Coturnix japonica: one gene and its partners. The protein of the gene in region 2 interacts with the protein of the main gene of each other region in a pairwise test. Links are inferred from orthologs where the notes say so. Each region holds a gene or a part of one and is shown on either strand. Other genes may lie near its edges. The genes, in order: TSPO, CREB3L1, TMEM11, FAM3C, PLP1, MFSD5 and SLC35B4.

Region 1 (4,091 bases), on a different chromosome or scaffold from region 2:
ATTGCAGGCCAACAAAATAAAATAGGTGGCATTACTTTTGGAGCAGTTTTAATACGTGAAGTTGAAGTAATCAGGTGCATCTCCTGCAGCAGTACCTGTATGTGCCCTGCGATGACCCTGCTATCTGGGAACAGGTAGTTGGAGACCTCGCACACGGGGCTGTCTATGCCCAGTGACTCGCAGTGCCTACGGGCTTCCAGGCAGGCATATTTGTAGTTGGCCTCTCGTCTGCCGATGACTGACAGCATCCCACTGGGGACGGCCTCCGCTGCCGCCTGCATGGCCTCAGCACGCACCTTCACAGCACAGAGTGCTGAGGGGAGAAGGGGACAGGTGAGTGCAGACAGGCAGTTTGCTCACGCTGGGAGTGAGAATCACAGAACTGATAAGGTTGGAAATATCACTACCACCATCCAGCCCAACCATCAACTCATTTCACCGTGCTCACTAACCATGTCCCTCAGTGCCACATCTACACATTTCTTGAACACCTCCAGGGAAAGTAACTCTATCTCCTCCTTGGGCAGCCTGTGCCAATGCATCACCGCTCTTGCAGGTATGTATTTCTTTGTAATATCCAATCTGAACCTCGTAGGTGCAACTTGAGGCAATTACTTAGTGTCCTATAACTAGTTTCTTGGGAGAACAGGTCGACCCCTACCTCACTGCAACAGAGTTGCAGAGAGCAATAAGGTCTCCCCTGAGCCTCCCCCTCTCCAGACTGAACAATCCCAGCTCCCTCAGCTGTTCCTCAAAAGACTTGTGCTCCAGACCCTAAACCAGCTTTGTTGCCCTTCTTTGAACACGCTCCTGGGCCTCAATGTCTTTCTTGTAGTGAGGGGCCCAAAACTGAACACAGTACTTGAGGTACAGCCTCACCAGTGCTGCGTACAGGGGGATGATTCCCTCCCTGCTCCTGCTGGCAGCGCTATTTCTGATACAAGCCAGGGCACCACTGGCCCTCTAGTTCACCCGGGCACACTGCTGGCTGGCGTTCAGGCGGTTATGGACTCCAGTCCCTTCCCAAGGCTGGTGCTTTTAATACGACGTTAGGCCTATCAAAGCAAACCGCGGAAGCAGAAAGCAAAATTGACCCACCTTCCGCGAAGTCCATGGCTCCGGCGAACACCAACGCCGCGAACTCGCCCACGCTGTACCCGGCAGCGGCCACGCAGCTCTCCACCACCTGCACAGACACACGCGGCCGTCAGCGGAAGAGCCGCGGGGGGGAGCCAGTGTAGGAGCCGAGCGGCGGGAGCCACGTCGCGGCCCCGACGGTCGCCGTCGCCTACCTTAGGCTGCAGGTGGTTGAGCTTCTCTACGGCGGCCAGGGAGGCGACGAACACGGCGGGCTGGCAGTGCCGGGTGCGGTCCAGCTCGGCCCGCGGCCCCTCCAGGCAGAGCGAAAGCAGGTCGTAGCCCAGCACCTTCTCGGCCAGGCGGTACATGTCCCGCACGCCGGGGTAGCGCAGCAGCCCGCGGCCCATCCCCACGAACTGGCTGCCCTGCCCGGGGAACAGCAGCACTGTGCCCTCCCGCGGAGACCGCTGCTCCCGCCTCCCCCCCGCCGCCTCTCCCTCGCCCGGCTCCTCGTCCCCCACCGAGCTCTGCAGCAGCTCGCTCAGGCTCGCCGCCCGTTCCCCACCGCCTCGGAGCGAGCTGCCCCGCCGCCGCGCTGCGTCGCGCAGGACGCCGCGCCCGCTGCAGCCAGCGAGCCGCCATGTTGTCGCGGCCCGGCTGCCCATGGCCACCGCCCGCGTTGCCCCGGGAACCGAGCGGCCCCGCCGCCCACTGCTCGACCTGCGCCGCGCCGTTCCGCGGCCCCTCCTCGGGGCGGGCCCCGCTAGCGGGTGGGCCCTCGTTGCAGAGGCGGCGGTGGCGGCGCGAGAGCGGAGCGGAGCAGAGCAGAGGTGAGGGGGGATGCGAGCCCTGGCCGTGGCGGGAGCTGAGGTTGAGCCGCTCCTGGCCCCGGCAGGGGGTGGGGGAGGCGGGGGGGGGGGGGAGGCGGGGAGGCTCGCGTGCCGCGGTGCTGGGAGCCAGAATGGTACGACGACTCCTAATGGGAAGTTTCTTCATGGGCGCCGGGAGGGACTGGGCTTTTTTCTCTTTAGATTTGCAGGTGGTGGCTGTGGAACAAAACGAGGTGCTCAGTATTTGAACGCCCAGCGGCGGGGTTACTTCACAGATAGCGAGACGTGCCACGGCTCAGTTGTAGTCGTGCCGTCATTTTGAGTGGCTGAAGGTTATGAAATGGTACCACTCAGCGCCTCAGGTTGGGCGGGCGGCTCCGCGACGCCGTGCTGCTTAGCTGGGCGGAGAGGAACAGACCCGAGCTGTGCTGAGTGCTGTTGTCTTCCTGATAGGGACGACTTGGCTCGCTTTTCTATCTCTGTGCTGCACCGCTCTCTCGGTTTCCTCGGTTGTTGGGGCTGCGGACCCGTCAGCAAGCAGCTGTGGTACAGAGGGGCCCGTCCTGCTCCTGGGGAGCCCCCAGCTGCTGAGCCCGCACAGAAGCACCGCTCTCCCTTTGGTTCCGCACGAAGGGCGCTGGCCGCGTTGCACAGTGACTGGGGCTTAGCTGTGGGCCGCCAACAGCCCTCCGCTATGGAGGCAGGCCTTGAAGGGGTTCTCTCACACCCCGCTCTGTCTGAAGAACTCCCAGGCCTGCACAGCATCTACATGGGAAATATCTGTGTTTATTACATACACGGATGACGATTGAGAAGCAGTGGCAAAGGAAGATTATCTAAAAGGTGCTTTGTCTCTAAATACAGCCTGTTTAGAGGATCTTATACAAATGTACGTGGGGAAAGTTAGAAGAGATTGAGCAGTGAATGGCAAATTGTCAGCCAGGTGGATCCTGTCCCAGCGGGCAGGGCTGCCTCTCAGTGTGTGGGTCAGATTGTTTCAGCGCATCATGGCTTTGCCATCTGGAAAGGATAAGAGTGCTTTGAGGCAGCAAAGTTCTGTACCACGTGCTGTGACAAAACTTTGTCTTCAGTGCCATGGTTTCCCAGCAGCTAAAGCCACAGCAGACCTAAGAGGTTTATCGCTATCCATCAAGCGTGCACCCCTTAATCCTTTGGGCAGCTATGTGATGTGGAGCCTTTTCCCACTGAGGATGTGCCTGCTGCCTTTCAGACCTGCGTAGAAATGTACTGCCCTCAAAATAATACATTACAGAGGGCAAGTATCTATCCTGGTGGGCCTCACTCCCAACTTCTGCTGCTTTGTCTGCCTCAACGTGCCCAGGACCACAACTCCAGAGCTGTGTGGGTAACTTGGCCCCACTGAGAGATTTTCCTCAGCACTGTTAATGCAATAGCTGTAACTTAAGCGCCATGTGATTGGAAAGCCAGCACAAAGTTACTTAAGGGGATTAGTCAGAGGTTTATCAGAGCAAGGATATAGCACTGCAATGGAAGCAGCTGCCCTCCTCTGTTCCTGCTCTCTGGCAGCTCTTGGGCTGGATAGGGGGAGGCACCCACCTGGCTCTCAGAGAGCTGCTCCTTCACTCTGAAGGGCCTTTAGCAGCTCTGGGTCCTTCTTCACCAGCCTGAGGCATGTTGGCTCATCTATTGCAGTACACGTTGTTCTCCACACCCTGTTCTTTTTTCCAGACAAAGGAGAGGACATGGAAAGCTTCCGCTTCACTTTCTGTACATTGAGCCATCACAGGGAAGCAACTTGCAAAGAGACAGAAGGCGGCAAGCTGTAGTATCGCTAATTTTCCTCTTTATTTCTCCTGGTGCATTACAGAGCTGGAACTATCGCCAGACAGGTCAGCTTTGAATAGCCAGAAGCAGTATTTTAACACTGGTAAAGCAAACTGGCCTGCTGCAGCCAGATTAGGACTAAGCAGAAAATGGGCAGGATGATAAAGAAGACATCACAGGGCAGAGGTGAAGGGAAGGAACAGAAATAAGCTTCTATGAAGTGTGTTGAGGGAGTAAAGATCTCCAGCTGTGGTGGTTTAGCAGCAGAGATCAAAATGTCTGCATGCTGCAGATACCATCCACAGACAGCATGGTTTCTTCAGTATGCAAATCAGTATGCAAAAGTACTGTATAACCAGCTCTCCCTGCAGTGGA
Region 2 (4,284 bases):
TTGTCCAGACCTGTCTTAGAAACCTCCAGGGCTGGAGATTCCACCACACCTCTGGGCAGCCTCATCCTCTCCTGTGTCCTCACAGTGATAAATTGTTTCCTTATACTCAGTCTAAACCTTCCCTGTTCTGATTTACGAGCGCTGCCATGCACTTATGTAAAGAGCCTGGCTCCACCTTCTCAGCAAGCTCCTCACAGGGCCAGCAGGCTGCTGCTGGGTCCCACTGTGCCTGAGCTCCCATCTGTCCATACTGTTATGCTCCTGCTGAAGCTAGCAGCCCCCTATGCACTCTGCTGGCCCAGGGCTGCCCAGTACCCCCAGCACTTCTTTCCTCCTCTCAGCCTGTGAATGCCAGCCTGTCCCAGTGCAGGAGCTGGTCCATCCCAGGAGCAGCAGTCAGTATTGCTTTGCTGCATGTCCCAAAGCTCCTGCTGAGCCATCCCTACAACCTGCCTGGCTTCCTCTGAATGCCAGCCCCCTTAGGTCAGACTTTGTTCTCTGTTTCAAGCACACAGAAATCTTTGAGGTACAGAGGTTCACATGTACGGAGGTACTGTCCTAACTCCTTCCTTACTTCCATCCTTACTACAGTCATGATTTCAAATGAACAACACAGAGAACCATTTCTAAAGAAAGGAGGTGACTTATTAGGAGAGAGAGGGCTCAACAGAGGTGAGTGGTTCAGGGCCATATAATCCATGTACCAAGGAGCACAACCTCTGCACTGAGCATCACTCGTCCTTTCTTTCTGCTTCTGTTCTGAACAGAAGGAATCACCCCCAGAACCAGCCTCATACAGGCATTTTATGGCCAAAATTCCTGGCTCTTCTAAGAAAAATACTTGCTGAACAATATCTGGAAGATTTGCCCATCTATGAAGCAAAGGCACTGGCAACTCTGTGAGCTATTGTGCACGGTGATGCTCTGCACAGCTCTGTGTGAAAACAACTCAGCACATCTCTGGATCCTGGGAAGTTTGCTGCACTTAACAGGAGAATGTCAGTGTATTCATCCTTCCCGTGTTGTCATGCAGCAGAGGAACAAGGAAGCTGATGCACTATGTTCTGGTGCACGTATCAGCTACAGATTCAGTAGGTGGGAAGCAGCTAAGGAATCTCCCCTGCTTATCTGGGAAGGGAAGGGAAGGTGTCTGCTGGACACTCACACTGCAGCAGAAGTCAGCGGTGCTGGCAGCAGGTGAGAGATCCACACAGCGTTCCTTTTTCTAACTGTGAGCTGAGGACAGCAACAGCAGAGCTGCCACAACTGGCTGCTCCTGCCCGTGGTCACTGCACACGGTAAGCACACTGTCCTGGCAGGTGGCACCAGATGGCACTCTTACAAAAGGCTTCTTTTTCTCATGCTCTGTTTGCAGGCACAAGTTGTGTTTGAACTACAAGGAGGGACCGTCTACACGGGTGAGGGTTTTCCTGCCTTCTGCTTGCAGTCTGTGTTGCACAGAGGTCAAAGGACTGGTGCCAAGACAGAGTATTATCACGGAGATAAGAGAATAAGCAGTCCTGGCACAAAGCGCTCCAGGTTCAGCACAGCTGCACCCACGAGGGGTGTACAGTGAATAGGGGAAGCACGAAGCTCTGACCTGCTTGGAGCAGACAGGGCCTTGCACAGCTCCACTGCTGCCACTCCCAGGCACGGCACTGCCTTGCAGTAGGAGCTGGTGAGGCCCCTGGGAGACGAGGCCGCCTGCGTAATCTCTTTCCCAGACCCAATGCATCTCCACACCCCGAGTGTGCTGCACTTCACATCTATGCAAATTCTGCATCTCTACTTTCGTCTCCACGTCGGAGGCAGAGCAAAAGGCTTTGGCTATCTTATGTGCAGCAGAGAAGAAGCGGAGTTAGCCAAGGGCTACAGCCCTCCCCTCCCTGCCCCCTGCAGCGGTGCTGTGGTGCTGGCATCCCTTATCGGGATGTCCTCAGGGATGCTCAGATCTGTACAGGAACAAGGGAGGATGCTCCCCATCTCACCGGACCACCCGAGCACTGGGGCTCTTCCTCTCCTCCCCCAGGGCAGAGGGGCAGCAGATTTGCAGCAAGAGCTCACCGGGACGGCACAGCTCCCGTAGCCCAGGCAGGGCAGCGAGGGAGGGAGCTGTTGGGTTTGGAGCTCGCAGGGCTCCTCGGGAGGCCAGGCAGCTTCCTTAGAGGTGAACAATGCCCCTCTGGTTCCTTGGGACTGGCAGCAGCTCTTCCTCCTAAGTAACTCTTCCTCTCGCCCTGCACTCTAAAGCAAACCATCCCAGCCCTATCGCCGGACGGGGACGCCTTGTCTCTCCGACGCTGCTCTGCCCAAGAAGTGGGAAACAGACGGGAGGGGGGACCCCATGTCCCGCTGCCCGGTAGTGGGGGCTCACAGCCCCGCGTCCCGTGGTCCCGCCGTGCTCCAGCGCTGCTCGAGCGGAGCCCCCCCGGCCGCGCTCCCACCGCCCCGCCCCGCACGCTTCTTCCCGGGGCCTGAGCGCGCCGCCAGGGCAAATAAGGCGGAAAAAAAAGCAAGGCGAACGAGAGCCGCGGGCTGGCAGCGGGAGATCGGGACGGGCATCCCGGGCTGGCCGCCGCCGGGCAGCGCCCCTTACCACATTGCTGAGGAAATCCGCCTCGCTGAAGTCGCCCAGGTCGAGGAAGCCGGGGCCGGCGGCGGGGAAGAGCCGCTCGGCGGCGAAGGGCTCCAGGATACTGTCCATGGTGCCCGCGGCTCGGGGCTCCGCCGCTCCCCGGCCGGGCTCACAGCGGCGGCACGGTCCCGCCGCCCAAGGGCCGGCGGCAGCGGTCCATGGATGGGGCGGCGGGGCCGGGTGGGAGCGGGCCGCCCGCGGGCGGGGGAGCGCCGGGGAGCGCCGCGCCGGTGCCCGCTCGGGGCAGCTGTCAGTGCCCCGCTGCGATGGGGCCGGGCGGGCAGCGCCGGCGGCCGGTAGCGGCACGCCCCCGCCCCGTGCTGGGGAACCGCGGGCGGGACTTGGCGGGCCCACACCCCTTAAGGCAACGCGGAGGCGGAGGGCAGCGCTCTCCTTCCTTCGGGCCGGGCAGACCCGCACAGAGGGGTCCGAGAGTCTCATGGCTGCGCGGTGCGGTGAGGTGCGGTGAGGTGCCCCAGGTGGGTTCGGCTGTGCCGGCCGCTCAGTAACTAAGGAGCTGGGCACCATTAAGGAGCTTTGGGAAGATTATGTGGCTTAGGATAAATGGGATTATGGATCCCCATCCTCCCTGATCCTTACTCCAGCCAATACTCAGGAAAACCACTTAGAATGATCGTGCAGAAGCCTCGATGTTTTGTTGATCTTCCCCTGCTTCTGTGGCTCCACATAATGGGTCCCACTGCTTCTTGGCTGTGGGTGTGTGGAAGAAGTCAGGCAGCTGTGCTGTAATGCTGGTAGAGACCCATTGGGAAATGTCTCAGTGCAGACATGCAGGCACGGCCAGGACCCTGTGTTCCCCACACACGGCTGTCACAGGCTCTGTGTCCCCATGCATCTGAGCACAGCCCTGAGCACACCTTGGCTGCTCCTCGTAGTGTTGGCCACATGCTGCTCCTGCACACAAAGGGCTTTATGCCCATGCACACAATGGGTTCTTTCAGTTGCATTTACTTTTACCTTATGTTTCAGTCAAGTGTGAAGAGCCTCTGGGTGAAAGGGGTCGAAGACATAAATTCAGCCAGGATGGGGCTGTACTGCTCTTCCCATAATACATATTCTTATGTATATGAGGAGGAATGATGTTTGGAAACCATCTACACAGAATGGACCCTCTCCCACGAGGGCCGTTTTCTGCAATCATTCTGGCTTTGAGGGCGATGCTCCCACCTCCTGTCCTGAACTAAACATGGGTATCACCTCTGTCACCACTGTTTCTCAACTGAGCAAACATGGGAAGGCTCTCTTCAAATGACAGAGGGATCAGGCTGCTGTGGTCTAAGGAGAAGATGTACCAGCATCTCTGGGGCATTCAGGCAGCTGCAGGATGACCACTATTATCTCTCTTGCCTATAGGTGGGTCTGATTCAGAGGCAGCCCCATGATGTGGCACCATGCAGTGACTCAGGCTCCTTTCAGCCCCATTGCCTCTGATTTTATACTTAGATTTAGTTGCAATCTGATTGCAGCAGGAAACTGAAGCAGCAACTGGGTGCGCTTGGACTGATAGAGACTCAAACCAACAGCAGATAAGACTTCCTGGCTGTAAGGCATTTGGTGCTGCAGATGCGCGTGGATGACCAAGATAGCTTCATCATTTCTGATAAGAGAGCTATCAACCCAGTTCCCAA
Region 3 (4,241 bases), on a different chromosome or scaffold from region 2:
CTGCACTCCTTAGCTGGGAAGCACTGCCCCTCAGGCTCCCAGTCAGCGTTATTTACATGGCTTGCTATAGATGAGTGCAAGCCACAGAAGCTGAGGCTGGAATTGCAAGAGGCAAAAATCCCAAGGCTGCTGGATTGGTGGGCAGAAGGGGCACTGCTGCTTTTCAGTCATGATTTGACCCAGTATAACAAGTGACATGTGGCCCTTGGGTTGCAATTTGAGCCTCAGGGAGCTTGGCATTAGCTCGTCTGGAGGGACAGTGCAGTGGTTGGGGTTATAGCACAAAGCTGGGCTGTTGCTAGTAACACGCTCTGTTTACATTCCACATTCCAGAAGGTCTGATGCTCCGACCTGCCCCAGCAACACCGCACGCTCCACTGCACTGGGAACGTTTCCCAATCACCTCCTGCTCATGCAAATGCACTATTTACCTCCATTGAAAGAGCTGAACCCCAAATGATGGCTGAGAGAGCAGAGTGCAGGATGGTCCTGCGGTTTGGAAGCACAGCTTCACAGTGATGGGACGATGTAGGCAGTGATGGGTTCGCTCTATTTAGTTCCATTACCTCACTTGGAAATAATGTTGTCAAAATGAGGCATTTTCTAGGGAAGGGAGATGCAGAGACAACGCCGCTCTTCTGAATCGCGCTGTCAGTCACAGCACTGTCACGGGTTACACGGCCCCTCCGATATGTTCCCTCCTGCTTCTCAGAGGTTTGGTGGCTGCTGGGGAAAACAGAGAGAGCAGGATGTTAGAAATGAATGGGGAACGGCACAGGGAGGGGCTGATGCTTCCCAGTGTGTGCTGATGGCGGCACAGAGTCCCTGAGAGAATGGCTGGTTGTAAGGGAAGGCCATTGAATGGGAGGAAGGCTCCTGATGGGGCACAGAGGCACCACAAACACCCACAGCTCGATGGCAGCGAGGCCTGCTCTATGAGACCTGCTCTATGAGACCTGCTCTATGAGACCTGCACTGTGAGACCTGCACTGTGAGACCTGCACTGTGAGACCTGCACTATGGGACCTGCACTATGAGACCTGCACTGTGAGACCTGCACTGTGAGACCTGCACTGTGAGACCTGCACTGTGAGACCCCCGCCCATGCCGCCCCCCTGCTGCTGCCCTCCTGGCGGTGCCGCGTTGCAGGCCGGGACCATGGATGACGCTCCTCCCCCGCCCTCCCGGCTCCGCTCAGCTCTGTTGGCTGCTCTCAGCAGTCGGTCGGTCGGTCGGTGGCCGTGGGGTCACTTTGTGCTTCGCAGCTCCGCACTAACGTCAGGAGCCCCCGGCCCGCTCCGGCCCGACCCCTCCGCTAACACAGGGGACTACGCATCCCAGAGGCCTAATCGGCCGTACGGCGGCGCGGTGCACTGTGGGAGTTGTAGTCCTCGCCTGGGCGCGCCCCTCTGTCGCTGAGCGGTTCCGGCGGCCGCACGCACTGCATTTCCCGTGGGGCAGCGCGGCCGGCCTCGCGGCGGAGACATTTGCGAGTGCAGTGTGTCCAAGATGGCGGCGTGGGGAAGGAGGCGCGCTGGGCCCGGCAGCACCAACAGCGGCGGCCGGGAGAGGTGAGGCCGCGAGCGGGGCGGGGGACGGGGCGCAGGTCGGGGTATGAGGGGAGCGGGGGGAGCGGGCTGCGGCCAGCGGGGATACAAGAGACCGTGAGGCGAGGGCGGGGGCGGCGCTGGGGAGACAGCGGGGCGGCCGGGGAGCGGGGCTGTGGAGGGGAAGGAGGGCGGACAGGGAGACTCGTAATGCGGGCGGGAAGGTCGGAGCGGCCATCGATGTGTGCGAACGGCGGGGCGGGACGGGACGGAGGAGGGAGGAGGCACCGGGGAGACGGACCCGTGTGGGTGGGTGTGAGGGCCAGGCCGCCAGGGTGACCTCCTGAGAACCGCGCTCAGGGTTTGTGCTGCTTCGGGGCTGGGAACAGCGCTGGGATTTGCTGAATCCCGGCTGAAAGGAGGAAGGAAGGAGCTGAGGGAGCTGCTCGCCGAGCTGCTTTAAAGTCGGTCCTTGCAGTCGGTTGAGCCCTCCTCAATCTCGCTGAGCACCGTGCTGCCTCGCGTATTGTGCTCCCTGCTCTGCCCTGGGGTGGCTGATGTCACCGGAGCAGCTGCGTGTTCATTGTGAGGAGCAGAGAATCACAGCATTCCCCGAGGTTTGCTTTTGTCCCTCTGCCATACCCGGAGACCGATATCCCTTTGGTTTTTATCGTTATGGTATTGAAATTAGGGTTTGGTTTCTTTTGTTCCTTTTTTGTAATCCGAGAGGTTTGTATTTGATGGTGCTGAGCAGAGCCACGAGCAGCCCTTAAAATCACAGCGCCAATGTGATACACAGAAAGGCTGCCTCTGTTCAGGGAGTTTGCAAGTGATTGAATTGGAAGAGCTGATGGAATGACTCCCTCAGCACGGCTTATATAAACAACTCCGAATGCTGCCGAGCACGGTGGCGCGGTGGTAGAGCTGTCTGCACCCCTGCTGGCACCTACCCCAGTGCTGAGCACACGAGGTGAGGAGATCTCACATTGTAGGCCTGCCCTGCCAAGGGAGGTGAAGAACAAATACGGGAAAGAGCGCTTGACCTCAGTGAAAATGATTCTTCCAGGAAGAAAATGGATGCAGGCTTAAAAGTGAGTTGGCACCCTGTGACTTTGTGAACCATACGGTGTTCCCATAGTACAATGCCATTGTAGTTTGTGATGATCTTTAAGCTGTGATTCCTCTCGATCTTGTGATCAAAAAATACTTATTCATAAACATGAGGTGCTTACTTCATGAACCTCCAGCATCCCTTATTTTGCCTTTTACAATGAGAAATATGTGGCTAAGTGCACAAGAGCACAAAGTGACACACGGTGGGGCAGCAGGTGATCTGTGTAAACGTTCCACCATGGAGCAATGTTTCACAATCCTTATCAGCAGGCAGTGCTTCTGTTAGGTGTCATCCCATACAGACCTGCCAGGAGATGCTTTTAATAGGTGCTGGGTGACGTCAGCTAAGGAGCATGCCTGCCTTGTGATTGCAGAGCTGCAGGTGCCTGTGACTGAGCCACTGCCTGGATCAGGGGTTAATTCTCCATCACACCTACTGGGCTGGTTTGGCTGCTGGCAGTGCAGGTTGTGGACATGGTGGCTCTGACAGACCCGATGACGTCAAATGATGACGTAGGCTTACTGTAAGATGAATATGGTTTTCTTACAGGATTCTTGTCCTGAGATGCATTCCTTTCAACTGAGTGTGCTAATCCAGCTTTCCTCATAAACGAGCTGCTTCAAGGTGTTTTTGGAGCTGTCAGCCAGCTAGTCTGAAAAGACATCAGTGTGTTGGGAGGTGGTGGCAGAAGAATAAGATACTGTCTGCTCCAAGGAGGTTTCACCAGCTTTCACTTAAAAGTAAATAAATTCCTTTTAAAAAGTCCAGCTGCTGCCTGTGGAAATTTGTATCCCTCCCTCAATGACTTCGTTGATACAAAGAAGTCTGTAATTGGTCAGAAAGTGCTTTTTTCAATAGGACTAAGTGTAAGTACGTTCATTTCAAAGGATATTGGCTGTGAACTCCAGCTGGCTCTGTGGGGGTGGTAGGGAAAAACCTGAAGAGAAGTGACTAAATATTTGTTTTTCTTCATTCTGGATAGACTCTTTAATAGAGACTATCTGAAGGGGATTGTTAATTTGTGCAGCAAAACAACTTTTGATACAGAACAGACACTGAATTGTACTTGGGGTTTTTTGTATAAATTGCAGCGTGATGACCGCCAGCACGCAGACAAAATGCCATTTGTTCTGCTTGGAGATGTGCTAACAAACTGCAGAAAGAAAGGCTCTAATGGCATCGCTGCTGGTCGTGCTGGTCCCTCTGCACCCTTAAGGAGCTCTCTCCTTTCACTACCTGCGCTGCTCAGATTTCTGGTACTCTGTTTGCTTACAGCAATGATTGACCCGTTTCCATTAGCCTGGCTAATCATTAGTTGGCTTAAAAATGACGTCTCTTTTTGCTCTAGTGGCTAGAGTTTCTTTTGTTATGGCTTGGTGATGTTTCCCTTCGTGTTGCCTTCCCTTGCCAAGATCACACTTCTGTTCTCCCATTCTCTCCTATTTGTATTTAAGGCACAACCTTTGATTGGAGGTCCTGTGTAACCGCTGTGCTTTTCCTGCTCTTCATCCACTTCAGTGCAGCCATCATCAGCCTGTTCAATTGGCCTTGAAGCCTGATAGCAATGGTTAATGGCCTGA
Region 4 (3,669 bases), on a different chromosome or scaffold from region 2:
ATCACAGGATCTCCTTTCTGTTCTCATTTTCATGGCTAAAACGAGCTCATTTGTATAACTGAATGATTTAATATAATGAAAGGATGCAGCTGTGATGATATGAGTTAGAGAATGGGGGAAAGAGAGGGAGATTTCACAAGAACTAAATGATTTAAGAACAATTATTAAACTGCTTATTGCTTTAAAAGCAGCAATTAAATATTTTGTGGCAGATTCAGCTTTAACAGGTTTTCATACTGTTCATGCTTGCTTCAGATGGCCAGAAAAAAAGAAGGCGGCACAAATCTAAAGACAAAAGCTAGAACTACAGCCAGGCTTCCTTTATGTCCTCCACTACATTCCATAGAAGATAGTAGTGCAAGGAAACAATAAAGCTTTCCTCAGTGCAGCCCCCACCCTGCCCTCACCAAACCAACCACTTCTCCCACCTTTAAGTCTCTACTAAGTATCTTCCAAATTCTTCTACTATTATCTTAGATAGCAGCATAACCAATACCAGCTTACTTACAAATAATTTATTCATGTGAAAATTCCAGGACTTTGCAATTAGTTTTTCACAATAACCTGATGTTATGAAATAACTTTTATTATCGAATGGATAGAAACGAGGTGTTTTACTCATTTGATGTAAAAGATACATATGATTTTGACACATCCTCCTAAACAAGAGAATCTGAAAGATTTAACAAAAACAATTTCACCACATAAGGATCTTTTATTGCTGCTCTACATTAAACTTCAGTGAAAGCCACATTATTTAACAAACTACTTAAACGTACAGAACAGCTCAGAGTCCAGTCTTAGTTTGACATCACAGGTTATTTGACTTGAGAAGCAATTCCCAATATTGCTTGACTTGTTTTTTAGTGCATACAATTGAGTTCATTTCAGAAGACCTATCAACAATAGGAACATTTGAGTGCCACTTACACTGTGGGTTCCTGAAAAATCCTTTGTGGCTGTAGTCCCATGGTACTAGCTGGAAGTTTCTGAAGATTAAACTAGAAATCATGACATAAAACTCCAAGAGATTACAATCAATTCTGTAACATCCCCTATTTTTTTTTTTCCTATACCAACAATTTAATTTATAACATGCTAACTTACTTTCAGTGAAAGTTCAAGCTGGCCCTACATAAAAATGGAGCTATGTTTTCTGACAGCTCTGACATGAGCTGAAGAATAAGGCCACTTCAACTTGGTCCTTTAATTTTTTTGCATTGAAAAAAAATGAAGATGCATCATCACTTAAGTTCGAATACTATAGATTGCATAACCAAAGATGCGATGCTTTCTCTACTATCACTGTAAGCACATATGACCCCACATTAGGTGTAACACAGGCAGTAAAGACTCATAATACTGTACCCTGGACAACTCTTACTAGAAGGCAGAATGCTCTCCCCTGGGTTCTTTGCAATAGAAAATTTATTTCTAGGTTTACGACTACAGCAGGAAGGCACCCCACCACACACATATGTACTATGTGACTAGCCAGCAGGGCTGAATAGCCATAAGTAGACTCAGAGGTTAAGCAGCAGTACAAAAACTGTTACCAAAAAAAAAATGAACAAGTCACTTGTTTGAGTACTGTTGTTTAACATGCCGAGTCTCTTCTACACAGGAAGTACAGTTTTCAAGCTGAGCAACAATCCTTCCAAGCTGCTTTTAAGTATCACATACACTATTTACACATTTACTTTGCTCTTCCCTTAGTAAAAAAAAAAACTTATATTGTGCTTTTCATGGTATATCTGTATTTCACTATCATGTTTTCCTTCTTTGCAGATTATCCAGTTTTGGTGGGAGACTACAAAATAAATTTTTTTAGCACTCGGTATTAGAATAACCAAATTAGCTTCAATAAAAAGTGATGCTGCCATTAAAAAGGCAGAAGATAAAAAAAATTAAAGCTCTTTATTAACTTATCTCTATGTTTTCCACAAAGGTTACATTCTCACAGCAATGTTAGAAGACAGTACAACATTTGTCCAGATCTGTTTATTATTGGCATATGCAATTTATTAGCCAGTCGGTCTACAAGATACTCACCATAGGCAAACTAAATACTGTGCTTTTAAGAAATCTGTTTAGAAAGTACTTTATGTTCCTTTTAATTTGAACATATTTACAAAAAGGACTGTATGTGTGTTAGCAATAAATAATCCCAATATTCAAGATGTCAGTGCTCATGCACACACTGACAGGATGGCTGCATGCTTTAAAAATATTATTTACAGTACAGTCTCCTTCATAGCCCTCTCCCTAATAATAGCAGAAAGTGCATTTTCTTCCTTTCCTTTTCTGTAGATTTAGTCTTGCTTCTGAGGGATACAGCCTTCCATCTCAACAACTTCTGGCCAGCCTTCGTATTTGTTGGTGTCCTTGTTGTTCTTTATATGCTGCAAATAGAAAGTATTAATTGACTGTTAATATGAAGTCTTCTACCATGTTGCTTTAAGTCACAGCATGAAAGGTACTTCTTATTAAGACAGAAAAAGAGAAGACATCAGTAGTATCCTCTTGAGCTTTTTAAAAGATCATCAAATATAACAAATCCTCAGTACAGTAAATTGTTCAGGCAAGCGTATGCTAAAAGCAAGTACGCCGTAATAGAGAAAACATTCTCTATTATCAGACAAAGCATTACTACCTAAAGAGTCTGCCACTGCTTCTGCACTAGTCCTACACACTTGCTCACCAAGTACAAAGTTACCTTTACTGGTAATTAAAGGAGACAACAACACATGTTAAATTGCAGCTACTTAAGTATGGGAACGTATTTCACTTCACAAGTTCTTCTACGGCAGCAAAAATTCCTGACAGAAGTAAGTTTAACCAACACCTTAACAACCTGTTTGTCAGAGATTAGTGGGCCCAAAATATGACTCTTCAGCATTAAGTTTTGAATTCTCAGTTTCACTGAATTCACTTAAGGTAATTCATCTGGTTACTGGGATACTAACACCTACCAAAGTAAGACTTACCACCCCGTTGCACATTTAAAAGAAAGAACAGAAAAGAAATAAAACTGAAGATAACACCGTGTGCCACTATTGCAGTGGATACCCATTCTGAGTAAACTCGTGGTATAAAACAGGCTATGTCTCCATTAATGGAAGCTGCTGAGGTTGTAGAACATAACATAAGTTACAGAACATAAGAAGTCACAGACCTGCTCAAAGGGACTTTTAGTTTTAATTCCTTTTCCTCCACAGAAGACCCAATTGTCTCTAAAGCCAAGGTTAGTGATGGATGTGCTTCCTAGTTCAGCAATCAGTTTCCGTGCTTCCTCATTAAGCCTTGGGAAAAAAAAATAAAAAATACACATTCTCAAAGCTTTCATTGTTCAATGCACCATTCAGCTTCAATCTGATTAAATACAATTTAAGTCGGTCAATATTAGGAAAGATCTATCTTTCAAAATCAGATAAGGCTAGTTTCTGTAATCAGCTGACCTAATAAGCTCTGCTCTTTGATATTATCTGCAGCAAATAGTATAAAACCACTAAGAACCCCATCTTTTGAGAATTTATATATATAACTCAAATAATGTTAGCAATTCCCTAAGCAACTAAGAAAAGTCTATCTTTAACATAACCATTATTTAAAGACTCAAGTTGAAGCCTAAATACTTCTCTTAGGTTAAAAGAATGACCTAAATACACA
Region 5 (4,036 bases), on a different chromosome or scaffold from region 2:
GAGGCATCCTCACAGCGAAGGAGCCAGCGGGGACACACAGCCAAGAGGGGATGCTCAGAGCCTGCAGCATGAGGGGGTCCCAAAGGCTTCAGCCAAAATGCAGAAGGAAGGGATGAAATCAGACTGTGGAGCCGCCCCCCTGCAGCATGGGCAGCCCTGGGGGTGGGGGGGCACACGGGAGGGAGATGCTAACGAGCAGTAACCAATTACGGAGATTTTTGAAGGCATTTGGTGCAGAAATCGCAGCCCTGCTTCGTTGCTCACATTATCCCGGATGGCAGAAAGCTGATGCTTCCCCCCAGGGTGTTGAAATAAAATGCAAGATCTTGAATTTCTGCAGAAAGAGAAAGAAGGGCTCATCGTTTTTTTCCCCATAACATCATTTTTCCCTCTGGTGCCTGGCTCCATCCAGGCAATGCAGTCCCTTATCAGTGAGCATCAGCAGCCCCGCAGATGTGGTTTCTGAAGAGCACTGGGGGCACTGTGTGGTGCCCTGGGGACCCCCAGCCCAGCAGTGTTCCCAGCCCCAGGGACAGCCAGGCCCTGCCACAGCGCAGCCTGGCACAAAGCAGGGCATTGAGGGACACAGCGGGGCTTTGTCTGCCTGCTGAGAAGGGCCCTGTTGCCCTCTGCAGGCGTCCCCAGCCCTGTGCTGATCCCCCATGGGGGGCACCCATGGGAGATGGGCACCCCAAGGAGCTGACCCCCTCTGCTTCCCCATCCCTGGATGTGTCCCCATCCCTTGAGGACCCCATGGAGGACTCCCTCTGGGGACTGTGCCCATTGGAGCTCTGTCTCTTGTCCCACATAGAGCCCAAAAGGATGGGGACAGTGAGAGAAGAACTGCCGTGAAAGCAAGGAGAGCAGAATTCCCATCAGAACACCCACTCTGGAGCACTGAACGCAGGTGTCTGACACTTAGGGAGCAAGAAGGCAACAGAGGGGCATCACTGCATCCCACAGATCCCACATTGCTACAACTCACACCTATAGGCACTCACACCCCAGCCAGGCCTGGGGGTCCCCCTCCCACTGCACAGTGGGTGCCCTGTGACCCCCCCCCAGCCCCTTTATCCCTTTTAGAAAAGCTTTCCCTCCCCCTCCCCACCCCAAGCCCTGAAGTTCTCTGCTTTGCCCACACACAGAACGGCTGGCAGCCAAGGGGTGCAGCTGGGGGGGGCCGGGGCGGGGAGGGACGGGGGCTTGTCCCTTTAAGGGGGGTGGCTGTCACTCAGAGAGCCCTTTTCTTTGCTGGCGAGTGGGACAGGCACCCAGAGGGGACAATACAGGGTGAGGGACTGCCAGGGGAGGCGAGGGCTGCAGACAGAGCCGAGCGCACGGGGAGCTGAGCGAGTCGGGTGCCATGGGTGAGTATGGGGACGTGGGACAGCTGTCACAGCTGTGGGGGCCTGGAGCAGAGAGCCCGAGCATTTCCCCTGGCACTGGCAGGCTGTGCAGGTGATGTTCCCATGGGTGGCAGGGGAGGAAGCAGGGATGGCATTTTCCTTTCCCATGTGGCTTTCTGTCCCCTCCTGGGACAGACCCCATCCCTCCGGGAGGGTAGAGGAGCATGAGCTCAACCCAGGGCTGCAGGGAGAGCGGGGCACTGAGACCCATCACAGCTTGTGCCACTTGTGTGCCTGCAGCTCCATGCCTCAGTTTCCCCATCGATAAAATGATGTCATCCTGCTGGGTGCTCTGATGGGGGTCTCACAGCTGCCACCCTCCTCCTGCCCGCAGCACTTTGTGCAACAAGGCCCATGATGGTGCTGCACAAGGGCCCTTTTTTCTCTCCCCTTTTCTCCTCCTGCACTTTTCCATCTCTTTCCCAAAGCTGGAGGGCACACCAGGCCCTGCTGCATCCTGGTCCCCACCTGCCATCTGCCAGCAACTGCCCCCAGGTTCCCAGCAGGGAGAGAAGAAATACTAAAACCCTCAAGTCAGCTTGGTACCATCATCGTGCTGCAACGCATGCAGCTATCCATCCCTGTAGGACCTGCAGGGATCAGGGTGCACTGCTGGGAGGGGAAGGCATAAGGACCACTCCCTGGCCCCGTTGTGTCCAAGGCAAACAGGCGGGGGGGTCTCTGTGCTCCCCCACAGCGCTGCCTTTGTTCCCTGTTTGCTCTTTGGACAATCCCCCATTGTCCTCGGTGCCACCACGCACCCTTGCTCTGTGTGGGGAGGGGGGGACGTTGCTGGCCAGGACCCCAAGGCTGCCTTGTCCTTGCAAGGAGGAGATGATAGGCTCTGTAGGGTCCGTGGGGGGAGCATGGGTTTGGGACTGCTTCCAGCACTCGGAGCGCTTTAGGAACTCAGTGCACACCCGCCGGGGAGGGAGTGGAGCTGCCCCCAAGCTGTGCCCGCTCTCTGCACCCCAACCTCATCCCAGGTTCTGTAAGCACCACGGCACCATGGCAGCCCAAATAGAAACCCCTAGCACTGCGGCAGCGGGGAGCCCATTAGCAGCTTGTTGGTTTGCTCCCACTGGCATCACGCTGCATCACCCCGCATCTCCGTCTCACTCAACTGCCAGCTCCCCAGCACCCTGCACTGCTGCTCTTGTAGCACCACCACAAATAGTTTCAGCATTTTTCCCTTTATCTCCCTAAAATCCCCCCTTGTGGCCCTGCAGGTCTGTTGGAGTGCTGTGCCCGCTGCCTCATCGGGGCACCCTTCGCCTCTCTGGTCGCCACCGGGCTCTGCTTCTTTGGGGTGGCACTGTTCTGTGGCTGTGGGCACGAAGCCCTCACCGGCACCGAGCAGCTCATTGAGACCTACTTCTCCAAGAACTACCAGGACTACGAGTATCTCATCGATGTGTAAGTAACGGCGCGGGGCTCCTCGCGTCTCCATTGCGCGTGATGTGCCGCTGTCACCCGGCTCTGCTGCCACCCACTGGGGCCGACACCACGCAGGCTGTGCTCAGCCCTGGGCAGCCTCACACCGGCGCTGTTGCCCCGTGGCAGATGCTCCATTTCTTTTCACCCTGTTCTTATCTGACCCACGCCAGGTGCTGTGGGGTGCACAGGACAGACGCACCAGGTAGGTATGGGGGCAGCAGGATGTCCTGCTTAGCAAGGTGCTGCTCCCCCTCATCAGCTCCACTTGGGGACAGCAGCTTTGTCCCCACAGGAGGTGACACCCCACTCCAGCTCCCCCAGGGGTGTGTTGGGCTTGGGGAGGGTAAGTGGGGCTGCACACGGGGCTGTGTGCCGCAGCACTGCCTGAGCATCCCCACCGCTCCTCTCCCCATAGCATCCACGCTTTTCAGTACGTCATCTATGGCACAGCCTCCTTCTTCTTCCTCTATGGAGCCCTGCTGCTGGCTGAAGGCTTCTACACCACCGGCGCCGTCCGGCAAATCTTCGGGGACTACCGGACCACCATCTGCGGCAAGGGCCTCAGCGCAACGGTAACTGGGGGCCCGAAAGGGAGGGGAGCGCGAGGCCCCCAGCGAGCTCACTCTTTGCAGCGGGTGTGTCAGTGTTTGGGAAAGTGGCTAGGACATCCTGACAAGGTGATCTTAACCGGGGTTTGGCACCCCATCGCGCGCCTGCAGCGGGTTTGGCGTTGGCTGAAGGGCAGGAGATGGCGACCGCCCGGGGGTCGGGGTGTACCGAGGGGAAGCGCAGCCTGACAGCCCTCCCCGAGGCCAACTGTGTGCCCAAAGCAGCCAATTTGACCATGGCATTTGCCCCCAAACAAATTGCTCTGTGCTTAGGGATCACCCGGCAGAGCCGCAAGCATCCCTGCAAGGGCAGTGCATGCTGCCACTATGGCTGTCCTGCATGGTGCCCGAAGACTGGTGCCCTAGTGCTGGGAATGGCCTTGGGGAGCAGAGGGGAATGGCTGCGGTTCCCTTTGGGTTCGGTTGGGGTGGCACCATGGAGGGAGGGCAGCAGAGCGGCGTTGCTCAGCTCAGGGGTTTTGCAGCTGCTCTCCCGCAGAGGTCAAACCCTGCTGGCCGCAGAAATCCCCTGGTATGGGAAGGGGCACCATTGTGCCACAGCTGGTCAGTCCCACGTGTGTGTGG
Region 6 (3,966 bases), on a different chromosome or scaffold from region 2:
CGGGGCTGCCCCGCGTCCAGTGTTTCACCCCCCCCCCGTGCCCACCCACCCCTATGGCCCCTGTGTCCCCTTCCCTCATGTCTCTGCCCCATGTCCTCAATGTTCCTTCTGTCCCCATATCCCCCGTGGTGTCCCCGTGTCTCTCCATGTCCCCGTCTTCCGTGTCTCCAATTATACCTGAAGTCCCCACGGCCCTTCATATCCCCCCATATCCTTCATATCCCCCCCATATCCTCCATATCCCCCATATCCCCCCCGTATCCCACATATCCCCCCGTCTCCATCACTCCACACTTTATTGTCCCCACGTCCCGCTCCCCCTCCCAGGGGCGCCCCGCGTGGAGGGGTCACACGAGGACGATGGGGTGGAGGATGGGATGAAGGGGGTGGGGACAGCAGCCTCCCTGCCCGGCCGCGTGCACGCGTGGGCACACCCACGTGAACCCCCCCGCGCTGCTATCACCCCCCCCCCCCAATACTGAGCCCCCCCCACTGAGCCGGCTTTGGGCTATAAATACATAAATACCGGCGGGGCACGCGGGGGGGGGGTGGGAGGCAGCACCATGGGGCTGGCGTGGCATGGACAGCGGCTGCACAACCCCCCCTGTCCCCTGTGCGCTCCCCCAGAGTTCCAAAAACCCCTGCTCCACCCCCACATATTGCCTCCCCCCTGTTTGCCCCCCCCCCCCCCTGTTGCCCCCCCTCCCTTCTTGCTACCCCGGGTCCACCTCCCCTGTTTGTTTTTTTTCCCCCCCCCTTCTGTCACACCCATAATTGCGCCATGCCCCTATTGCCACTCCTTCCTGCTGCACCCCCCGACGGTCCCCCCCTGCTGCCCCCTCCCGGCTAGCCCCCCCTCGGTCCCCCTCCCTTTTCCCCCCCTTCTGTCACAACCCCATATTGTGCCGCCCTTACTGCCGCCTCTTCCCCTGCTGCCCCCCCCCCTGCTGCGCCCCACCTCCCTTGTCCCCTCCCGTGGTCTAGCCCCCCTCGGCTGCTGCGCCATCCTCCACTGTTGTTCCCCCCCCCGGCTGCCGTTCTCCCTGTTGCCCCCCCCCCCGTCCGTTCCCGGTGCTGTTCCCCCTCGGGGTCTGCCCCCAGTCCCCCCCCGCCCCGCCGCCCCCGGCCCCGCATCAAGTGACGGCCCCCCCCCAACCCCACCCCGTGGGCAGGTGAGTGAGGGAAACCGAGGCACGGGGCGGAGGGGGGGGATTTGCACGAGAACCGGGGCGTTTGGTTCAGGATGCGCATTTGTACGAGGGCCGGGGCAGCTGCGCGGCTTCTGGGGGCAGATGCACGAGGTGTTTGCCCCGGGCTGGGGTATTTGCACGAGGACCGGGGCAATTGCACGGCGCCGGGCAAGGCCCCTTCACGTGACGTGCGCCAAGATGGCGGCGCCCATGGCGGTGATGGGCGGAAGCGGAAGTGGGCGTGCGGAAGTGGGTGTGCGGAGGCGGCGGGGCGCGCCGCCGCTTCCCCCATTGAGGAGCAGGTGGGGCTGGGGGGGCTGTTGGGCGGTATATGGGGCGATATATGGGGCGATATATGGGGCTCTGTGAGGCGCTATGAGGGTTTGGGGGGGTGTCTCTGTGGGGGTGCGGGGAGATGCTGTGTGTGCGGGCGGGGAGGGGGGGGGTGTCTCTTTTAGGGTCTCTTTGATGTGCTTTGGGTTTTGGGCGCTCTGTGGGGCTGCGTGTGTCCTGTGGGGCTGTATATGGCACTGAGGGGTGAGGAGCGTCTGTGGGGCCAGGAGGGGTTCGATGGGTGGGAGCCGCGCTGTGGGAGCGGCCCCTCTGTGGGGCAGGAATAGGAGAGAGGTTCTAGGGATACGTGGGGCTGAGTGTGGGGCCGGGCTGGGTCAGTGTGTGAGGCGTGTAGGGCTGGGGGGACATATAGAGACCAGGTTGGGAACCTGCACAGGGGACACGTAGGGCTGAGCTGGTGGCTGGTATGTGGGGTCAGCGAGGGCAACGTGTAGGGCTGCAGTGTTGGGGATCAGTGCAGGGGATGGTTGGGGCTGAGGTGGGAGTCAGGGCTGGGTGTGTGTGGGGAGGGGGATGTGTGGGGCAAGCTGCAGGGATGACAAGGGCAACGTGGGGTCTCTGTGGGCTGTGGAACCCACAGGGCCGCCCTGCCCTCCATCTCCCTGGCCCTGCTCCCTCTGTCTGCTGACCCCCCGCCCGTGTCCCGCAGCCCCGTGATGCCCGGCCCCACGCCATGCTGCTCGCTGCCTACACATCCCTGGCTGTGCTGCTGGCGGCCGCGCTGGGCCTGGAGCTGTTCTCCCGCCGCACGTCCAGCCCCGCCACCAACCCGGCCTTCGCCCGCTTCCAGCAGCGCTTCCTGCGCGCCTACCTGCCCGCGCTGGCGGCCGACTGGCTGCAGGGCCCCTACCTGTACAAGCTGTACCACCACTACCACTTCGTGGAGGGGCAGATCGCCATCCTCTATGTCTGCGGCTTCGCCTCGGCCGTGCTGCTGGGCCCCCCCGCCGTCTCGCTGGTGGATCGCCTGGGCCGACGCGCGTCCTGCGTGCTGTTCTCGCTGAGCTGCGCCGCCTGCTGCCTCACCAAGCTGTCCCGGGACTACCTGGTGCTGGCTGCCGGCCGCGTGCTGGGCGGGCTGGCCACCGCGCTGCTCTTCTCTGCCTATGAGGCATGGTACGTGCATGAGCACGTGGAGCGGCACGACTTCCCCGCTGAGTGGCTGGCCGGCACCTTCGCGCGGGTGGCGTTCTGGAACAATGTGCTGGCCGTGGGGGCTGGCGTGGTGGCCACGGCCCTGGCTGAGTGGCTGGGGATGGGCCCGGTGGCTCCGTTCGTGGCGGCCATCCCGCTGCTGGCGATGGCGGCCGTGCTGGCACTGAAGGACTGGGAGGAGAACCACGGGCCGCCGCGCGCGCTGGCCAAGACATGCGGGGATGGGCTGCGCTGCCTGCTGGCCGACGGGCGCGTGCTGCTGCTGGGCACCGTGCAGGCGCTGTTCGAGAGCGTCGTCTACATCTTCATCTTCCTCTGGACGCCGGTGCTGGACCCACACGGGCCGCCGCTGGGCATCGTCTTCTCCAGCTTCATGGCAGCCAGCATGCTGGGCTCGGCGCTGCAGCGCGTGGCCGTGTCGGCGCGGTACCGCCTGCAGCCCGTGCACCTGCTGGCGCTGGCCGTGCTGCTGGCCTTCCTCTCGCTTTTCATGCTCACGTTTTCAACCGTGCCCGGGCAGGAGAGACCGTCTGAGTCCTTCCTGGCCTTTCTGCTGCTGGAGCTGGCCTGTGGGCTCTACTTCCCCTCCATGGGTTTTCTGCGGCGCAAAGTGATCCCTGAGAAGGAGCGTGCCGGCGTGCTGCACTGGTTCCGAGTGCCGCTCAACCTGCTGGCCTGCCTGGGGCTGCTGCTGCTGCACGGCAGTGACCATCGCAGCGGCACACGCAGCATCTTTGCTCTGTGTGCTGCGCTGATGCTGCTGGCGCTGCTCGCCGTCGGCCGCCTCTTCACTGTTGGCCGCCATGACCCAGAGCTGCGGCTGCCGCCCCCCCAGGGACCCCCCGAGAGCCCTGAGCTGTGAGAGTGGTGCTGGTGGTGGTGGGGAAGTATGGCACAGTGGGAGCAGTGCATACCTCTGCAGCTATTTATGCTCTGTAAAGGAAATAAAGTGTTTCCGTAGATCCCCCACCTTTTCTGAGGGGGAGGGAATAAGGTGGCATTTGACATTTGCTGTTTGGCACCGTGTTTTCATGCCATCCACGTTCAGCACCACAATGGGGCACTGCAGCCCCCAGGCCCTCAATGAGTGCCCATGTACAGGGTGGGTGTCCCCCTGCTGCCTGGGGTCACACGTGTGCCCCCCCCCCCCCCCCACGGTGTTTGTTGCGGGGGGGGTGACCTCATGGCAGTGCAGACTTTGCTCATCACTGCCCAAAGCACCAGGAACGTCAGTGCTGGGTGTGCAGCACTGTACCCCATTGTGTGG
Region 7 (3,500 bases), on a different chromosome or scaffold from region 2:
AGACCCACCTGGCACTCAGATCCACACAGGCAGCCCTGTGAGCTGCTTCAAATGATAGTGGTGGTTTCAGCTATGTGTAGTCATCTGACTCCAGAAGTTTCCTTTGGAGGTGCAGCCCAGGAGGTGAATTTTATAAAGGGGGGGGAGGTCTGGCTTTCTGAATTTCCCCTGCTGAGAAGCAGACTGATGAAATTCACAGCCTGTATAGCTGGGCTGTAGTAGATCCTTCTTCATCAGGGGGAAGTTCTTCACAGAGAGAGTTGGTGAGGTGCTGGAACAGCTGCACAGAGAGGCTGTGGATGCCCCGTCCATCCCTAGAGGTGTTCAAGGGCAGGTTTGATGGGGCGTTGGGCAGCCTGGGCTGGTATTCAATGTGGAGTTTGGTGGCAGGGGGTTGGTGCTTCATGATCCTTGAGGTCCCTTCCAACCCAAGCCATTCTGTGATTACATGATCCCATCTTCCCCCTTTGCTTCCTGGAAGGAGGAGGGTTTTTTTGCTGCTCACAGAGCATGTTGAAAACAGGCAATATCCCTGGGGCAGAAATCCAAAGGATCACATTCTGTGAGGGTAGAGCAGTGAAGCTCGAATCCACAGAGATGTGTGAGGCTGATTTTTCAGTAAGAAGTGAGTGGATTCACATGAATTACTAACATCATGTCTTTCTTTACCTTTTCTTTCCAGCATGCGTTACCACTCCCTGGCTTTATTCTCCTGGCCCCAAACATCTACCACCATGCAGTTCTCTTCAGCCAGTCTGGTGAGTGTTGCATGGATGGGAGCCTTGTTCTTGTACCTTTCTGTCCTCTGGATGAAGCTTTTGTCATTCATGGACAAAAGAGACATTCTCTCTCCTTGCATCTTCTCTTTGTATCAAACCTTGCTCCCTCCTGGCTCACACTTTGTGTGCCTACAGCAGATGCATTTTTCTTGAGCTAATTGCTGCTTAGAGACCTGTTTGTCCTTCCTCCCCACAGAGCCATTCCAGATCCCAGTGATTGGGCTGACCATGCCAATCATGTGGTTCTACCTCCTCATGAACGTCATCACTCAGTATCCTTCCAATGTGCAGCTTGAGACAAGCTCTGGAGATAGAAGCACGATAGGAGAGGTGGAATAGGGTGGGGATGCCGAACCCTTAATGCCTCCCCTGCTTTTTGGGAGCTGATCTTGGAAAATACAGAGTGGAATTCAACCTGGAACTTAAGGGTATTTTCCAGGTTGGCTGAAATCTGCCACCGTCTCCCCAGGGATAGGCTGGCTGGTAAAAGCTTACAGTGGTTCTGCCAGCCGTTAGAAAGGATAACAGCCATTCATGCCCATGGCAGCAAGGGCAGATCTGCAAGTCTGATGAAGCCAAGATACCCTGGAAAACGGGGCCCTTCAGTTACCAATTTCTTCACTGCTGACAAGTTAGTGTGCCTTATAGCTGCTCATGCTCCTCCATAAGACCAATTCAAAGCCTTTCCTTTGCCCTCTTAGGGAGGAAAGGGGACTTCTCCATCTGTAACTAGTAGTAGATCAGAAGAAGTCTGATTTTAGTTTCCCTTTGCCCCACTGCAAGAACTGCAAACCCTGTTTGCCATTAACTTTTTGCTAGCACATCAGCTCTGGCTACTCTGTAGTGGAGGAGTTTTGCTTTCCCACAGTGCAGGCTGAAGGGGATGTTGAGAATCCAGGGGTTTCCCTGAGGGTCAGAGCACAGCTGAGCTGAGAAGGGACATTTATTCTCTCTGTAACCAAACTGGGGTTATCCACTGCCCAAACCTTTGCATTTTTTGAGGCTAGGAGAACCTCCCTTTGTAGCTCTGATGCTCCCTAACCTCCCACCCACCCAGATACGTCTGCATTCGGGGCGTCTTCATCCTCACCACGGAGTGCACCTCCCTCACCGTCACGTTGGTGGTGACGCTGCGCAAGTTCGTCAGCCTCATCTTCTCCATCCTCTACTTCCGTAACCCCTTCACGGCCTGGCACTGGTTGGGCACTGCCTTCGTCTTTGTGGGGACTCTCATGTACACAGAGGTGTGGAACAGCCTCGGGCCCCTCCTGGCTCGCTGGAGGAAGAGGCCGAAGGCGGAATAGCAGCTGGGGGACACTCTGGAGGGACCTTTTTATTGTTTTATAGAGCAGAGCAGCAGGAAATCTCCCTGAAAGGGGGTTCCTTTTTATAACACAGGGGAGGTGTTGGCTGTGCCAAGCTCCTGGGAAACGTGGAGCCTCTGCTGGGAACCTGCCTGGAATAATGGATCGTGGTGGGAGGATATGGTTACTTTTGAGATGGTGCATTTTGTTATGCAACTCCTTCCCTTTTAAATAATTTTAAAGCTGACCCGGTTCTTGATTAGGATCCCAACCTTGTGCTTCTCTGCAGTCCTCTCAGCTTCATTGAGCTGAACCCTGAGCCCATTTGGTGCCGTCCTTTAACAGCCAGGTTACTGTAGTGGATGGCTGAGCCCCAGAGAGCCACCAGACGCTGCTGTTTATGGAGCAGGTTTTTAGTTACACTGGAAGTGCCAGGCCTGGCTTTTAATTTGAGTCCTTGTTGCCTGATCATGCTGGGAGGATATTGGTTACACCCCATAGCTTCCACCTTCTTCAGTCTGCTTGGTAGACTACTAAAGAGTGGCTTTGGGGACTTACCTCCAAGCCACCAAGCTCCTGTCACTAAATATCGTGATATTGCACTGCTACCTAATGAGGTGGAGGGTGTTAGGGGTTCCTGCTTCTGGTAGAACTTAGTGCAGGTCACTTTTCAGCCACATCTTCCTCCTTTTTTCCATCATCCTAAGTGTGGCCACAGGTGAATTTGCTACCTACTGCTGCAGTGAGTCGTGCTGTGTGCCTGGGACACTTCAGTGTAAAATCATGGAGCAATTTGGCTTGGGAAGGACCTTTTATGAACCCCCCCCCCCAACTAGAAAGGTTGCCTATAGCCTCATCCAACCTGGTCTTGAGCACTTTGAAGGATGGGGCCTCCACGGCTTCTCTGGGTTGTCTATTCCAGTGCCTCCCCATGCTCAGAGTAAAGAATTTCCTTCTAACACCGAATATAACTCTTACTTTAGAACGGTTACCCCTTGCTCTATCACTACACGCCTCAGGGTACAAACATTGCCAAGGAATTTCAGAAGGGCCAGAACAGCTGAGCTTAATTCTGTTGCTGAGGAGGGGCTGGTTTTCCCGTCCCTTCAGCTGGCTCTCCCCTTTTCTTTCCTTCTTCCATTTCTTGGGGGTCAGCTTCACTCATGACATTTCTATGCATCCACCTGGTGCAGGACAGGTGTCCCATAGCATCACCTCTTGCATGACATCTGGAAAACTTGCAAGAGCTTTGGATGTATGTCTTCCAGCAAGGCGAAGAGCAGCGCTGTTCTAGGAGCTGGTCATGGTTGGGCAGAGCAAAGGTTGGTGAGCAGCCTTGTCTTTCTTGGTCTTGGAGCAGGAAGGGAGCACATGCATGGATTTTTTTGTCTTGATTTTCCTTTAGCACCGTGGTTAC

Evidence for each region.
Region 1: the proteins of CREB3L1 (region 2) and TSPO interact in binary tests that used the Homo sapiens proteins (3 or more experiments, as listed by UniProt). The two-hybrid records come from large-scale screens. The link is inferred for Coturnix japonica from reciprocal best matches to the Homo sapiens genes CREB3L1 and TSPO.
Region 3: the proteins of CREB3L1 (region 2) and TMEM11 interact in binary tests that used the Homo sapiens proteins (3 or more experiments, as listed by UniProt). The two-hybrid records come from large-scale screens. The link is inferred for Coturnix japonica from reciprocal best matches to the Homo sapiens genes CREB3L1 and TMEM11.
Region 4: the proteins of CREB3L1 (region 2) and FAM3C interact in binary tests that used the Homo sapiens proteins (3 or more experiments, as listed by UniProt). The two-hybrid records come from large-scale screens. The link is inferred for Coturnix japonica from reciprocal best matches to the Homo sapiens genes CREB3L1 and FAM3C.
Region 5: the proteins of CREB3L1 (region 2) and PLP1 interact in binary tests that used the Homo sapiens proteins (3 or more experiments, as listed by UniProt). The two-hybrid records come from large-scale screens. The link is inferred for Coturnix japonica from reciprocal best matches to the Homo sapiens genes CREB3L1 and PLP1.
Region 6: the proteins of CREB3L1 (region 2) and MFSD5 interact in binary tests that used the Homo sapiens proteins (3 or more experiments, as listed by UniProt). The two-hybrid records come from large-scale screens. The link is inferred for Coturnix japonica from reciprocal best matches to the Homo sapiens genes CREB3L1 and SLC61A1.
Region 7: the proteins of CREB3L1 (region 2) and SLC35B4 interact in binary tests that used the Homo sapiens proteins (3 or more experiments, as listed by UniProt). The two-hybrid records come from large-scale screens. The link is inferred for Coturnix japonica from reciprocal best matches to the Homo sapiens genes CREB3L1 and SLC35B4.

What each region holds. Positions count from the first base shown.
Region 1 is NC_029516.1:62,978,335-62,982,425, forward strand, and holds the start of TSPO (translocator protein), read left to right. Parts: upstream 1-1,291; 5' UTR 1,292-1,292; coding exon of another isoform or gene 1,293-1,720; coding exon 1,721-1,910; intron 1,911-4,091. Other genes in the region: MCAT (malonyl-CoA-acyl carrier protein transacylase, mitochondrial), read right to left, coding at 96-313, 1,099-1,186, 1,293-1,745. UniProt on the Homo sapiens protein: Can bind protoporphyrin IX and may play a role in the transport of porphyrins and heme. Promotes the transport of cholesterol across mitochondrial membranes and may play a role in lipid metabolism, but its precise physiological role is controversial.
Region 2 is NC_029520.1:21,207,819-21,212,102, forward strand, and holds the start of CREB3L1 (cyclic AMP-responsive element-binding protein 3-like protein 1), read right to left. Parts: upstream 2,801-4,284; 5' UTR 2,705-2,800; coding exon 2,597-2,704; intron 1-2,596.
Region 3 is NC_029529.1:4,563,938-4,568,178, forward strand, and holds the start of TMEM11 (transmembrane protein 11, mitochondrial), read left to right. Parts: upstream 1-1,441; 5' UTR 1,442-1,509; coding exon 1,510-1,571; intron 1,572-2,539; exon of another isoform or gene 2,540-2,638; intron 2,639-2,667; exon of another isoform or gene 2,668-3,125; intron 3,126-3,210; exon of another isoform or gene 3,211-4,241. UniProt on the Homo sapiens protein: Plays a role in mitochondrial morphogenesis.
Region 4 is NC_029516.1:19,139,823-19,143,491, forward strand, and holds the end of FAM3C (protein FAM3C), read right to left. Parts: intron 3,303-3,669; coding exon 3,176-3,302; intron 2,403-3,175; coding exon 2,313-2,402; 3' UTR 501-2,312; downstream 1-500. UniProt on the Homo sapiens protein: May be involved in retinal laminar formation. Promotes epithelial to mesenchymal transition.
Region 5 is NC_029519.1:1,950,539-1,954,574, reverse strand, and holds the start of PLP1 (myelin proteolipid protein), read left to right. Parts: upstream 1-1,236; 5' UTR 1,237-1,363; coding exon 1,364-1,367; intron 1,368-2,635; coding exon 2,636-2,822; intron 2,823-3,258; coding exon 3,259-3,520; intron 3,521-4,036.
Region 6 is NW_015439867.1:573,703-577,668, forward strand, and holds MFSD5 (molybdate-anion transporter), read left to right. Parts: upstream 1-1,166; 5' UTR 1,167-1,243; coding exon 1,244-1,492; intron 1,493-2,193; coding exon 2,194-3,561; 3' UTR 3,562-3,706; downstream 3,707-3,966. UniProt on the Homo sapiens protein: Mediates high-affinity intracellular uptake of the rare oligo-element molybdenum.
Region 7 is NC_029516.1:1,329,018-1,332,517, forward strand, and holds part of SLC35B4 (UDP-xylose and UDP-N-acetylglucosamine transporter), read left to right. Parts: intron 1-682; coding exon 683-758; intron 759-975; coding exon 976-1,051; intron 1,052-1,836; coding exon 1,837-2,083; 3' UTR 2,084-3,500. UniProt on the Homo sapiens protein: Antiporter that transports nucleotide sugars across the endoplasmic reticulum (ER) membrane in exchange for another nucleotide sugar.